Saccharomyces cerevisiae S288C: one gene and its partners. Changing the gene in region 3 together with the main gene of any one other region gives a genetic interaction. Each region holds a gene or a part of one and is shown on either strand. Other genes may lie near its edges.

Region 1 (4,008 bases), on a different chromosome or scaffold from region 3:
CGGCATTGAGCATCATAGATCAACTAATAAAACATTCTGTAATCAAGGTGGACGCTACACATTTTGAAATAATAATGGAGGCATATGACAAAGAGGGTTATCGTGACGGTATAATTAACTTGTACAAGACAATGTCACAGAATAAGGTACCAGCGAATTCCAAAATTTTATATTATATATTGAAGGCCGTTGCCAAAAAAAGCCTACAAAATAATGAGGAAATCAAGGAAACGATTAATATGGTAGAAGACATCATGGAAAATGCTGCCAATGGAACTCTCGACGTTACGTATAACAAACTGCATCCCTCGGTCATGGCATGGCCAATGAGAATGATTGTGAAACATGATAGCCCACAGCGGGCTTTAGAGTTATACAACCGGTACAATGAGCTTTTCTTCAAAAAGCATGATTGGATATCAAATAATAATAAATTTGTGATGATGAGATCATTGTTGGTATTACTAGCTCAAATTGAACAATGGAAAGATTTCGAAACACTTTTCGCTAAATACATGGATCGTATTGAAAACATTGAAAACTTGCCATCATCTACAACGCCAAATATTAAACTAAGAAGCATATTCAGCGGATTGTTCCCTTATAAAGTAAGTCAGTTGATTGCAATGAATAAAATCGATGAGCTGCCATTACTGTGGAAGAAATTGCGAGAAAAAGGTTTTATTTTAGATAATATATCGTGGAACAGCGCTGTAGAAGCGTTATTTAAGGATCCAAGAACCCTTTCGTATGGTATGAAAATCGTTGATGACACACTAATTCATGGGTATAATTTGATCCATAAATTTAGACTATTAACGAAACTATCCGAGGATAAGACGCAGTCCAGTGATAAATCTTGGCCAACATTAAAAATGAAGGAAAAAGAGCCCAATAAATTTCAGCCCAGACTATACTTAAAAAGCGATACATATAACAGTATAATGAGGCAGTTAGACACATATTTGGACGGTATTGATGATTTAAAAACTTTAGAAGATCAGGTACGTGACTTCATATCAAATTACAAGTATTTTATGAAAGATTACTTATTAATGCCAAGAAGCAAGATCAATAAATGGGAACAGATTGAAATGAGACATCTTTCATATTTTAAAGAACTGAGGAAATCTAAGAGAGTATTACCTGTGAGTAAATTCTAGAAATGCATATATCATATTGTATAATCAACTGCATATATATCAAAAAATCATGTAAATAATTAACAAAAATTGAGAGAGCAAAGACTAGTCTAAACTTTGTTTTTATTTTCCACGGTCAGTGTATAGTTGCCTACAGTTTCACCGTAAGTTAGCAAACCTACCCATGGTTGAACATTCCAGTGTAACTTGAAAACCAAATCCTTGCCTTCGAATTTTCCATCTTCAATATCCCAGATAGAATACTTGGATCTTAGATCGTTCACATCAATCACAGCATCATCCTTGCTTTTTATGATCTTATCCCAAAATGTTACCTCACTTGTTATTTTTTCAGTACTGTTATACTCAGCAGTTAGATAGACAAAAACTTGCTTTGTATTCCAATTGAATAGGGGAGTGAGATCTGTATTTAGATCAAATTTAATTTTCATATTTTCCTTTGCCTTGCCTCTCTGTGAGCCAAAATATCTACTTGTTCTAACATTTATTAAAGTTTTGACGTTATCGATATTACTAGGTACTGAGAACGCGTTATTATTGATTAATTGATAGTATGAGGATGCCATGATGAATACAACCATTACAATTCCCATTGAAAAGGCCTGGTTCGATACATTCTGGAATCTTTGGACAAAGGAGAACATTGTTCTGGAGAAGTGCGGCAATGCTAGCTAGCTTTGTGGGTCTTTGTCTCAGTGGAACTTAATAGGCTTAACAATCAACTTTTTTCTCCACGTCTACCGACTGTCATGAAATTAGTCGACCTTCGTTCTGCGCCTTTGAAATGAAAAATTTCAACGTAATTAAAAAAAGATAATAGATGAAAAAAAGGTAGTATTCACGTGTGGCTTCAAGAAGACACCAAAGGCAGTGGTCTAAGTTTGTGTTGGTAGAATGGCTGGCAAAGCAGGGAGGAAACAGGCTAGTTCAAATGCAAAAATAATTCAGGGCTTATACAAGCAAGTCTCTTTGTTTTTAGGAATGGCTATCGTACGTCTATTCATTTCACGTAAGGTTACAATTGGCCAATGGATTAAGCTGGTGGCTTTGAACGTTCCTATGTTCGTTGCTCTGTATATCATTGTGCTATCCGGTAAGCCCAAATATGATGGCAATCGCGTAGTAAAACAAGGTATAGACTTGAACGACAATACAAATTTGATATCATATTTTTTTGATTTGATATATCTATCACTTTTTGGTAACATTGGTATTATAGCTTTCAGGACATTCAAATTTTGGTGGTGTCTACTATTGTGCCCCATCTATGCTGGTTACAAGTTATATGGCCTCAAAAACATGTTCATGCCTGGCGCTCAACAAACTCAGGCAGATAATCGCTCAAAAAATGCTAATGAGGGACAATCCAAATCCAAAAGGCAGATGAAAAGGGAGAGGAGGGGTGAAACTGACTCTAAAATTAAGTACAAGTATCGTTAAACAAAGCTTTTCAAACGTTTTTGAAATTTTTTGCTTTCTATAGAGGAGTGTGAGTATATACAAAATAATATTTAGATATACTTAAAATGAGCATGCTACACAGGTATCTTCCAAAACACTGTCATAACGAAATTCTTATAGCCGTTCCATAAACGGGAACAATATGGGGGCAAAGTACGGCTGACATATGCATCCAACCTAAGGACATATTGTTTAAATATCTGCCTCATAGATTCACTTTGTAGGTACCTTAATTTGAAAAACCATACATAGGTTAGTCCTGCCAACATTGTACCCACTACCTCAAACGACACGTTTGCTCTTCTTACCAACAACAAGAAAAAATTGAAGGGCACTAAGAAGAGGCCCACACGTAGGCCGCAGATAATCTCAAATACTTGCGCCATCTGTAAGAAAAATCCATTGTAGTTTTGGATGAATACCGTTATTTTGGAGTTCAACAAATTTTTCAAATTAAGTGGTATCAAAGGCAAAAATGGCAAAAGGTTTTCCTTAAAATAGTTCAGGAAGTGAAAGATTGAAAAGATAACGGGACTGTATAACGAGCCGCTGATTATGATGTTAAACTGTGATAAGAGAAAAAGTATGAATAGCATGGCAAAATACTGCAAATTATCCAATTTCTTCATCTCTTGGCGCAAAAGCGTAAAATTGAACTTTAACTGGTCACTTTTGAAAAACTGGTAAAGAACGATGGCATATGTAACGGATATGTAAAATAATGATCTTCTATAGCATGACAATTGGTTTTGTTTGGACGTGATTGAAAGATGAAATTGTATAAAGTTAAAGATGGTTAAAAAATGGCCTATAAACCAATAAAACTGGGGTTGTTTTATTCTTGATTTGATAATGGTGCCAAATGGTGCCATGGGACGATTCCTGGGAACGGTCATATTGTTTTGTGCTAATTTTTTTTTACAATTATTCGAAATGAGTCTTGTTTGATCGTGGCCCCTTCTTTATTTCTGATTCCAAATCGAATTTTCAACTCTCTTATTAATATTTTTTCGGTGTGGATGAGAAGAAAAAAAATTTTTCTAAACTCTTCGAGAAAAGAACAATGAAAAGAGAACAGTAAAACGTCATAAAGCCTGTTAGTTCTTGACATAAAGACGGTAAAAGAATCGCATGTTTTCCAATGGAATCGAGTAGTCGAGTTTTGGGTCCATTCTATACCAAATACTGTCGTTCTCGGATACTAGTGACCATGGACCTGTCGTTCCCTTGTCCTTTCTATTGCCTACTAAGATAGTATCGATAAGAAATTGGATTGGGAACTTCTTGTTGTTGATGGTAATGTGAGAATAGCTTCCTGCACTCTCTAGTATGAGAAGATGGCAGCCTGGGGCACAGTTCTCGTTTAACCGTTGCAGAAATTTTA
Region 2 (5,188 bases), on a different chromosome or scaffold from region 3:
AAAAAGCCCAGAATGCGACAAAGACATACTCCGGCTGACAATAACGCAAGTGCTGTCACATAAGACTCCTTATATATGACAGTTTGCTGTATTTGTACAGTTGGACCGTCTTCATTACAACAATATTTATTGAACAGTAGCTTGTAATAGGCCGGCATTTTTTTGGTTAATAACAATGCCAGATAACCGCGAAGATTTATAATGGTTTATCGGTTGCATTTTCCATGAGTATAGAAACTATTATAGCGACCTCATTCTCCGGTCATTTAAATTTCCAAGGATCTTAGAGTCCACAAAGGACACAAATAATTTTACATAATAACGATATTACCTCTTTTTCCATTTTATGCGTTGTCGTTCACTATCCTGTTACATTATCAATCTTCGCATTTTAGCTTTTACCACATCCGATAGCCGTTTCTCAATATTATGCCATCTTCCTACACCATATAAGATAATATACCAGTAATATTGATACCAGTGAATGGATGATAGTTGATTGTTATTCCAACAAATAAAATCACAATCATTATCACCATTGCAATGAAACTCCATTTATCATCTATTTAGTAGTATTCATGTTTCTAGTATATAATCATATGCGGTGTAAGAAAATGACATAAAGTTTGAGAAACAGTCATCAAATCTAATGAAAGCTGAAATGCGAAGATTGATAACGTAATAGGATAATAAACGACAACGTATAAAACGAAAGAAGATAAAGTAATTTTTATTATATAGATTTATCGACTCCCTTTTGTGGATTCCAAGATCCTCGAGGAGAACTTCTAGTATATACTGTATACCTACATTATAGCTTTTGTTGACAATGGAGTCCCAACAATTATTACAATATTCACTTATTTCTCACATCATTATGAAGTGACTCCCCTCGGTTAAACGTTAGCGTGTTCTTCATTGCCTGTGGATGAGGATGAGCGCCGGTGCAAACTTTCAAGTTTTTCGAGAGCGTCTTCAAACTTAGCTACCACATTGTTGTCTACATCAACAAAAGTATGGTTCCATACTAAACTACCATCTTCTTTATTGCCGCTTAATTGTAACACGTCTACATTACCAGAATGATGAACTCCGCCTGTCAGATAGTCGTGCTTTGGTGCGGTCTTGATAAAATTGTTGATTGCTTCCATCGATATCATGATTCAGCCTAGGATTTGTGGGTTGCTTTGATTGATTGGAAATGATCGACTATGAGACCTTGAACCAGTTTAATTTTAAAATAAATATTTTTGTTGAACTAGTTCAGCAACCGAAATCCAGAAAAAAAGTTCTAGAAGAATAGTTTTATTAACTTTGAGAAAGTAAAAGCTGAGATAAAAAACCAGCTCAACATATAAGAATACAAGCTGACGGTAAATAACAATAAGTAGCCTTGTTGGCGCAATCGGTAGCGCGTATGACTCTTAATCATAAGGTTAGGGGTTCGAGCCCCCTACAGGGCTTCTTTTTTTGAAGATTCAAGTAAATATGCTGCATACATAATTCTCATTCAAAATATATACACTTAAGACATCTGGCCTTTTCTAGTTAATCTATATATTTAGTTCTTATAATAGATGAATGTACCGTCAACCAAAGATTAGCAGTTGGAGGGCGTTAAAAACAATTTACCATTGCCAGGATTCGACAACACTATTGTAACGTATTTCTGTTTCTGGTCTTGGAGTAATGTTTGTAGTCTATTAGCGGAAGTACCTTTTTACAGTGTCGACACAATTTGACTATTTTTTCAACTAGATTACCGCATGTCCGTCAGGGCATTTGTTGTCATGCAAAAAAATGAATAAAAAAAAAGGGCATCATCAAGAGAAGAAAACCTAATTAACGAGAGTGCAGGACATATGCACAAATAATATATCTCACACCATAATAATGTCAAGTGAGTCAACAACTTTCATCGTGGATGTTTCACCATCAATGATGAAAAATAATAATGTTTCCAAATCTATGGCATATCTAGAGTACACTCTATTAAACAAATCTAAAAAAAGTAGAAAAACAGATTGGATAAGCTGTTATCTCGCTAATTGTCCCGTATCTGAGAATTCCCAGGAAATACCAAATGTGTTCCAAATACAATCCTTTTTGGCTCCTGTTACCACGACGGCCACCATTGGGTTTATAAAACGCCTGAAACAATATTGTGATCAGCACAGTCATGATAGTTCGAATGAAGGCTTACAATCAATGATTCAATGTCTGTTGGTCGTCTCATTAGATATTAAACAACAATTTCAAGCAAGAAAAATTCTAAAACAAATTGTTGTATTTACAGACAATTTAGATGATCTGGATATTACTGATGAAGAAATAGACCTGCTAACGGAAGAATTAAGCACAAGAATCATTTTGATTGATTGCGGTAAAGACACTCAAGAGGAGAGGAAAAAATCGAACTGGTTAAAGTTGGTCGAAGCGATACCGAATTCAAGAATCTACAATATGAATGAACTTCTTGTTGAAATCACTTCCCCAGCAACATCTGTCGTTAAGCCAGTAAGAGTATTCTCAGGCGAGCTTAGGTTAGGGGCAGATATATTATCAACACAAACATCGAATCCTAGCGGCAGCATGCAAGATGAAAATTGCTTATGTATCAAGGTAGAGGCTTTTCCTGCTACGAAAGCAGTTTCAGGCTTAAATAGGAAAACCGCTGTTGAGGTGGAAGACTCCCAGAAGAAAGAAAGGTATGTGGGGGTCAAATCCATAATCGAATATGAAATTCACAACGAAGGAAATAAGAAAAATGTCAGTGAAGATGACCAGTCTGGATCGTCATACATTCCCGTGACCATCTCCAAAGACTCTGTAACGAAGGCATACCGTTATGGTGCAGACTACGTAGTGCTACCGTCCGTTCTAGTCGATCAAACTGTATATGAATCTTTTCCAGGCTTGGATTTAAGAGGATTTTTGAATAGAGAAGCTCTTCCAAGGTACTTTTTGACGTCGGAATCCTCCTTCATTACCGCCGACACAAGACTTGGCTGTCAATCTGACTTAATGGCTTTCAGTGCTCTAGTGGATGTTATGCTAGAAAATAGAAAAATTGCTGTTGCAAGATATGTGAGCAAGAAAGACAGTGAAGTGAATATGTGTGCATTGTGTCCCGTTCTAATTGAGCACAGTAACATTAATTCCGAGAAGAAGTTTGTTAAGAGCCTTACCTTGTGTAGATTACCATTCGCGGAAGACGAGAGGGTAACTGATTTTCCAAAACTTCTGGATCGAACAACTACATCCGGGGTACCGCTGAAAAAGGAAACAGACGGGCATCAAATCGATGAGCTTATGGAACAATTTGTAGATTCAATGGATACAGATGAGCTACCAGAGATTCCGTTAGGCAACTACTATCAACCCATAGGCGAAGTAACAACAGACACCACTCTCCCACTTCCCTCTTTAAATAAAGACCAAGAGGAAAACAAAAAGGATCCTCTTAGAATACCCACGGTTTTTGTCTACAGGCAACAACAGGTGCTACTGGAATGGATTCACCAACTGATGATCAATGATTCCAGGGAATTTGAAATCCCAGAGCTTCCTGACTCATTGAAAAACAAAATAAGTCCTTACACGCACAAGAAATTTGATAGCACAAAATTGGTTGAAGTGCTCGGCATCAAGAAAGTAGACAAATTAAAACTCGACTCCGAACTAAAAACTGAGCTTGAGAGGGAAAAGATCCCGGACCTAGAAACGCTATTGAAGCGCGGTGAACAACACAGTAGGGGAAGTCCAAACAATAGCAATAATTAAAAAAGGTCTAACATCCTTTGAGTTATGTTTTCGTCACCACAGTTAAAGAGAAAAAAAAATAAATAGCGGGTAAATAATTGTCATACTACTGATTTGCATTGTTACCTTGTAACTTTGAACACTAGCCATGCAGGTTGCTTTTCCTCCTTTACACCTTCCCCCCTGTCGCTGTTCAAAAGTAAATGCAACAACAATAAAACGTGGGTAGAGGACGTTCCCTGTATGTACTAAAATCATACTATCATCCGTTGAGGTCGAGCGGTTCTCTAATCTCAACACACGCTGCTGCCCCTGAGCTTGCGAGCTAAGGACAACAGGGCCAACTTGTTCTTTCTAGGGGGGAGAGGCCCAACTTAGGCTCGGTGAAGAGAAGCGCGGAGCTCACGAAAAGGGGTGGTGTCGCGCACTACTTTTTTCGTGGGGAACTTACGTGAAAGGGGACGTTATACTTTTGTTATGTGCAGTTCCAGGAACAAACAGGGGTTGAAAAGTGTAAAAGAAATAGTTGATTCTTTCAGAATCTGGATGACTGCCGCCCGAACAATGTGGGAAATATAAAAAGGTACCGTTAATATTGTTTCATTTTCGAAGATAGTGTTCCATGTCTTTCTTCAGCGTTGCTTGAACAATAGGATAATAAGAAGAAGATCAACCAATCTTTCTCAGTAAAAAAAGTAACAAAAGTTAACATAACATGTCATTTCAAATTGAAACGGTTCCCACCAAACCATATGAAGACCAAAAGCCTGGTACCTCTGGTTTGCGTAAGAAGACAAAGGTGTTTAAAGACGAACCTAACTACACAGAAAATTTCATTCAATCGATCATGGAAGCTATTCCAGAGGGTTCTAAAGGTGCCACTCTTGTTGTCGGTGGTGATGGGCGTTACTACAATGATGTCATTCTTCATAAGATTGCCGCTATCGGTGCTGCCAACGGTATTAAAAAGTTAGTTATTGGCCAGCATGGTCTTCTGTCTACGCCAGCCGCTTCTCACATCATGAGAACCTACGAGGAAAAATGTACTGGTGGTATTATCTTAACCGCCTCACATAATCCAGGTGGTCCAGAAAATGACATGGGTATTAAGTATAACTTATCCAATGGGGGTCCTGCTCCTGAATCCGTCACAAATGCTATTTGGGAGATTTCCAAAAAGCTTACCAGCTATAAGATTATCAAAGACTTCCCAGAACTAGACTTGGGTACGATAGGCAAGAACAAGAAATACGGTCCATTACTCGTTGACATTATCGATATTACAAAAGATTATGTCAACTTCTTGAAGGAAATCTTCGATTTCGACTTAATCAAGAAATTCATCGATAATCAACGTTCTACTAAGAATTGGAAGTTACTGTTTGACAGTATGAACGGTGTAACTGGACCATACGGTAAGGCTATT
Region 3 (4,029 bases):
GTGCAAGTATAAGCACAACACCTCAATCATTTGTGAGCAAAGAAAATGATTTATAGCTGCACTTAGAAAATAAAGCAAATTAGGTGAAGTGTCTTTTTATTTTATTTTTTTTTTTCTATTAACAAACAAATGTCCATGTATATATATATAAACGAGAGAAAAATGATAGTGAAAAATAAATACCAGTTGGAACTTAAACTGATGTATTTAGGTAGCAGAAGGATAGAGTTACAGAAGGTGAAATTGTCAATACAGATACAAAAAAGAAACAAAAAGAACTTAAAAGGACACGTTTGAACTCATAATTCACCAACTGGTCGAATTAGTAATCGAAGTGGTGTTGTACCATTGTACGTTACCTGGAGAGGTAGTGGTAACAGAAGGTGCACCGGTGACAGTAACGTATTGTGTAGTCGTATTTGGGGTGACTGTAACGTACTGGGTAACGGGCTCATTGGTGACAGTGACAAACTTTGTGATTGGGACGCAACCATTGGAAGTTGAAGCCTGTTCAAAGGACTTGACCTTTGCATCTTTGTTGTTTGAATCTTCGTCACTGACACTTGCTGCAGTAGATGATGGAGACAAAGTAGTGGAGTCATGAAGGGTTAGCAGCAAAGTGGACGTGATAGTCGAGGTGGAGGTAATTTCATGGGTGGATTCTGGGGTTACAGATCCAGAGGCCGAAGAGGTGGACAAGGAGGAGGAGGCCGCATTGGTAATGGTGGCTGAAGTTGAGGTGAACCAGCTCGTGGAGTAGACCGTTGAGGTGACAAAAAAGGTAGTGGTGTCGTCGGCGTACGATATGGTAGTCTCTTGGGGCACCAAGGAGTAGCTGGGCGCTAAAGTGGTAGTTGTAGAAACAGTATTGTTTGAATAAATCGCTGACACAGAACTTGCGAAGGTTAAAAGAGCGAAAAAGACAACGGATTGAAGCATTTTTTTATTTTTGGTTGATAAAGAACGACTAAGGTGAGAGTGAAAGTGATGTGATTTTTAATTATGTAGTGTAATTGAAACAATAAAAAAAAAACAAGGGAATGGACGAGACCTATTAATGGGTACTATGGCTCAAATAGCAAAAAAAATTTGTAAAATGGGTAAAAAAATGAGAGAAATACGCGAGAAACCTCTTGGTTGGATGTTGTGCTAAACTAGTTGCTTAAACGCTTGCAAAACTTTTTTATAGATAAAATATGCCAAGTGAAAAGAAAAGGAAGCAGAAGAGAAAAACTTAGAAAGGTAGAGGTAAGAAAGAATAAACCAAAATGTAAGCTAGGTGAGGGAAATATTTTGGAGCTTAAATATCTCGAACGACACTCACTCTCGTCAGAAAAATCTGTCGAGTAACTCAGACCACCTCCGATAGCATACCTTGTTTAGTTTCATAATCGGCAGAGACGTCATTCCTGCACAGAACGCCAAAATTCGTGGCCCCCGCGGTACCTGAATCAGGGCCAAGAATTTTGGCGTTTCGTGTTGTTGACATATTCCGAAAAAGGTATTGAGCCACAGGTCTTTCGCGTCTTCTAAGCCCCAAGATAAAGAAAATGCCGCCCTGCTTAATCACTGTTTTTTTTTGGAAAACCCTGAAGTATAGAAGTAGGGCATTGAAAGAAAAGATATGCGGGTAAGATATGAAAAAATTGAGGAAATGAGACCCAAGTGTACATGGGTATATATAAACAAATCATTATGGTGCATGATGCATCACTTACAATGCACACACACTATTGTCTTTGTAGAAACGGGGAAGACAATGGTTGTAGGCCTGATTGGTATTAGAGGCATCCGCAGTACGAGACATACGCCAAAGGCAGAATGTTAGACCCACGAATATTGCCATACTACGACCCGGCTGTGGAGAGGAAGATTGCTGTAGTAACAGGCGGAAATACGGGTATTGGGTGGTATACTGTCTTGCATTTGTATTTGCATGGGTTTGTCGTTTATATTTGTGGGAGAAACTCTCACAAGATTTCGAAAGCAATCCAGGAGATACTGGCAGAAGCAAAGAAGAGGTGCCATGAAGATGACGACGGTTCAAGCCCAGGCGCGGGCCCAGGTCCAAGCATTCAGCGTCTAGGGTCACTGCACTATATCCATTTGGATTTGACAGACTTAAAATGTGTGGAGAGAGCGGCACTTAAAATTCTCAAGCTGGAAGACCACATAGACGTGCTTGTTAACAATGCAGGGATTATGGCGGTGCCCTTAGAAATGACGAAGGACGGATTTGAAGTGCAATTGCAGACTAACTACATTTCGCACTTCATCTTCACGATGAGATTATTGCCTTTACTGCGCCATTGTCGTGGCAGGATCATTTCCCTGTCCTCGATAGGCCATCATCTAGAGTTCATGTACTGGAAACTGAGCAAGACGTGGGATTACAAACCTAATATGCTTTTCACATGGTTTAGGTACGCGATGAGTAAAACCGCGCTAATCCAATGCACGAAGATGTTGGCCATCAAATACCCTGACGTTCTTTGTCTCTCCGTTCATCCGGGTCTGGTGATGAACACAAACTTATTCAGTTATTGGACAAGGTTACCCATCGTCGGTATTTTCTTTTGGCTGTTGTTCCAGGTCGTAGGGTTCTTTTTCGGCGTATCGAACGAACAAGGTTCACTAGCTTCTTTGAAGTGTGCATTGGACCCGAATTTATCTGTCGAAAAAGATAACGGGAAGTACTTCACCACGGGGGGTAAAGAATCTAAATCGAGCTACGTTTCTAACAATGTCGACGAAGCGGCATCGACTTGGATCTGGACCGTTCATCAACTAAGAGACCGTGGTTTCGATATATAACAAGACGGAAAGATTGAAAGAGTAGATAGATGTACATTTTATTTAAATATTAGTTAGTCGTTATTGTAACTGGTAATCAGAGCAAGAAGTTTTTCTGTACTTTGTTCTCTGCAGGCAACTAAGTTACGGGCCGACAAAGGCTTATGATGTGCGTTTTTTATTCAATTGATAGATTCAGTCAGCATTGACGTAATGGGAAGGCTAGAAAAAGAGAAGACTGAATTTGGAAACTTATTCCTCAAAGCAGACCAGTACTTCCACCGCATTTCTGTACTTAACCAAGCACGACAGTGGTCTATCAGGCTTGGATCTTTCACTACACTTCCGCCAAAGTTTTTTTTTTTTCCTGTTTATCCCAGATCACGTTTGTTCCATTAAGGAGGTTTACTATCATCTCATTTCCATTTACACATACACTTACATATACATAAGGAAACGCAGAGGCATACAGTTTGAACAGTCACATAAATGTCAGGAACATTCAATGATATAAGAAGAAGGAAGAAGGAAGAAGGAAGCCCTACAGCCGGTATTACCGAAAGGCATGAGAATAAGTCTTTGTCAAGCATCGATAAAAGAGAACAGACTCTCAAACCACAACTAGAGTCATGCTGTCCATTGGCGACCCCTTTTGAAAGAAGGTTACAAACTCTGGCTGTAGCATGGCACACTTCTTCATTTGTACTCTTCTCCATATTTACGTTATTTGCAATCTCGACACCAGCACTGTGGGTTCTTGCTATTCCATATATGATTTATTTTTTTTTCGATAGGTCTCCTGCAACTGGCGAAGTGGTAAATCGATACTCTCTTCGATTTCGTTCATTGCCCATTTGGAAGTGGTATTGTGATTATTTCCCTATAAGTTTGATTAAAACTGTCAATTTAAAACCAACTTTTACGCTTTCAAAAAATAAGAGAGTTAACGAAAAAAATTACAAGATTAGATTGTGGCCAACTAAGTATTCCATTAATCTCAAAAGCAACTCTACTATTGACTATCGCAACCAGGAATGTACAGGGCCAACGTACTTATTTGGTTACCATCCACACGGCATAGGAGCACTTGGTGCGTTTGGAGCGTTTGCAACAGAAGGTTGTAACTATTCCAAGATTTTCCCAGGTATTCCTATTTCTCTGATGACACTGGTCACACAATTTCATATCCCATTGTATAGAGACTACTTATTGGCGTTAGGTATTTCTTCAGTATCT

What was found. A genetic interaction does not mean that the proteins touch.
Region 1: mutations in ENV9 (region 3) and SND2 together harm fitness more than expected from each alone (negative genetic interaction), as found in Saccharomyces cerevisiae (2 studies listed by BioGRID).
Region 2: mutations in ENV9 (region 3) and YKU80 together harm fitness more than expected from each alone (negative genetic interaction), as found in Saccharomyces cerevisiae (2 studies listed by BioGRID).

What each region holds. Positions count from the first base shown.
Region 1 is NC_001144.5:264,968-268,975, reverse strand, and holds SND2 (Snd2p), read left to right. Parts: upstream 1-2,057; coding exon 2,058-2,603; downstream 2,604-4,008. Other genes in the region: PET309 (Pet309p), read left to right, coding at 1-1,163; signal peptidase complex subunit SPC3, read right to left, coding at 1,253-1,807; PER33 (Per33p), read right to left, coding at 2,699-3,520; BMT6 (25S rRNA (uracil2843-N3)-methyltransferase), read right to left, coding at 3,722-4,008. UniProt on the Saccharomyces cerevisiae protein: Functions in the SND pathway, a SRP (signal recognition particle) and GET (guided entry of tail-anchored proteins) independent pathway for targeting a broad range of substrate proteins to the endoplasmic reticulum.
Region 2 is NC_001145.3:476,896-482,083, reverse strand, and holds YKU80 (ATP-dependent DNA helicase YKU80), read left to right. Parts: upstream 1-1,893; coding exon 1,894-3,783; downstream 3,784-5,188. Other genes in the region: YMR106W-A (uncharacterized protein), read right to left, coding at 897-1,160; YMR105W-A (uncharacterized protein), read right to left, coding at 3,826-4,020; phosphoglucomutase PGM2, read left to right, coding at 4,478-5,188. UniProt on the Saccharomyces cerevisiae protein: Single-stranded DNA-dependent ATP-dependent helicase. Involved in non-homologous end joining (NHEJ) DNA double strand break repair. DNA-binding is sequence-independent but has a high affinity to nicks in double-stranded DNA and to the ends of duplex DNA.
Region 3 is NC_001147.6:794,586-798,614, reverse strand, and holds ENV9 (Env9p), read left to right. Parts: upstream 1-1,821; coding exon 1,822-2,814; downstream 2,815-4,029. Other genes in the region: SRL1 (Srl1p), read right to left, coding at 307-939; DGA1 (diacylglycerol O-acyltransferase), read left to right, coding at 3,283-4,029.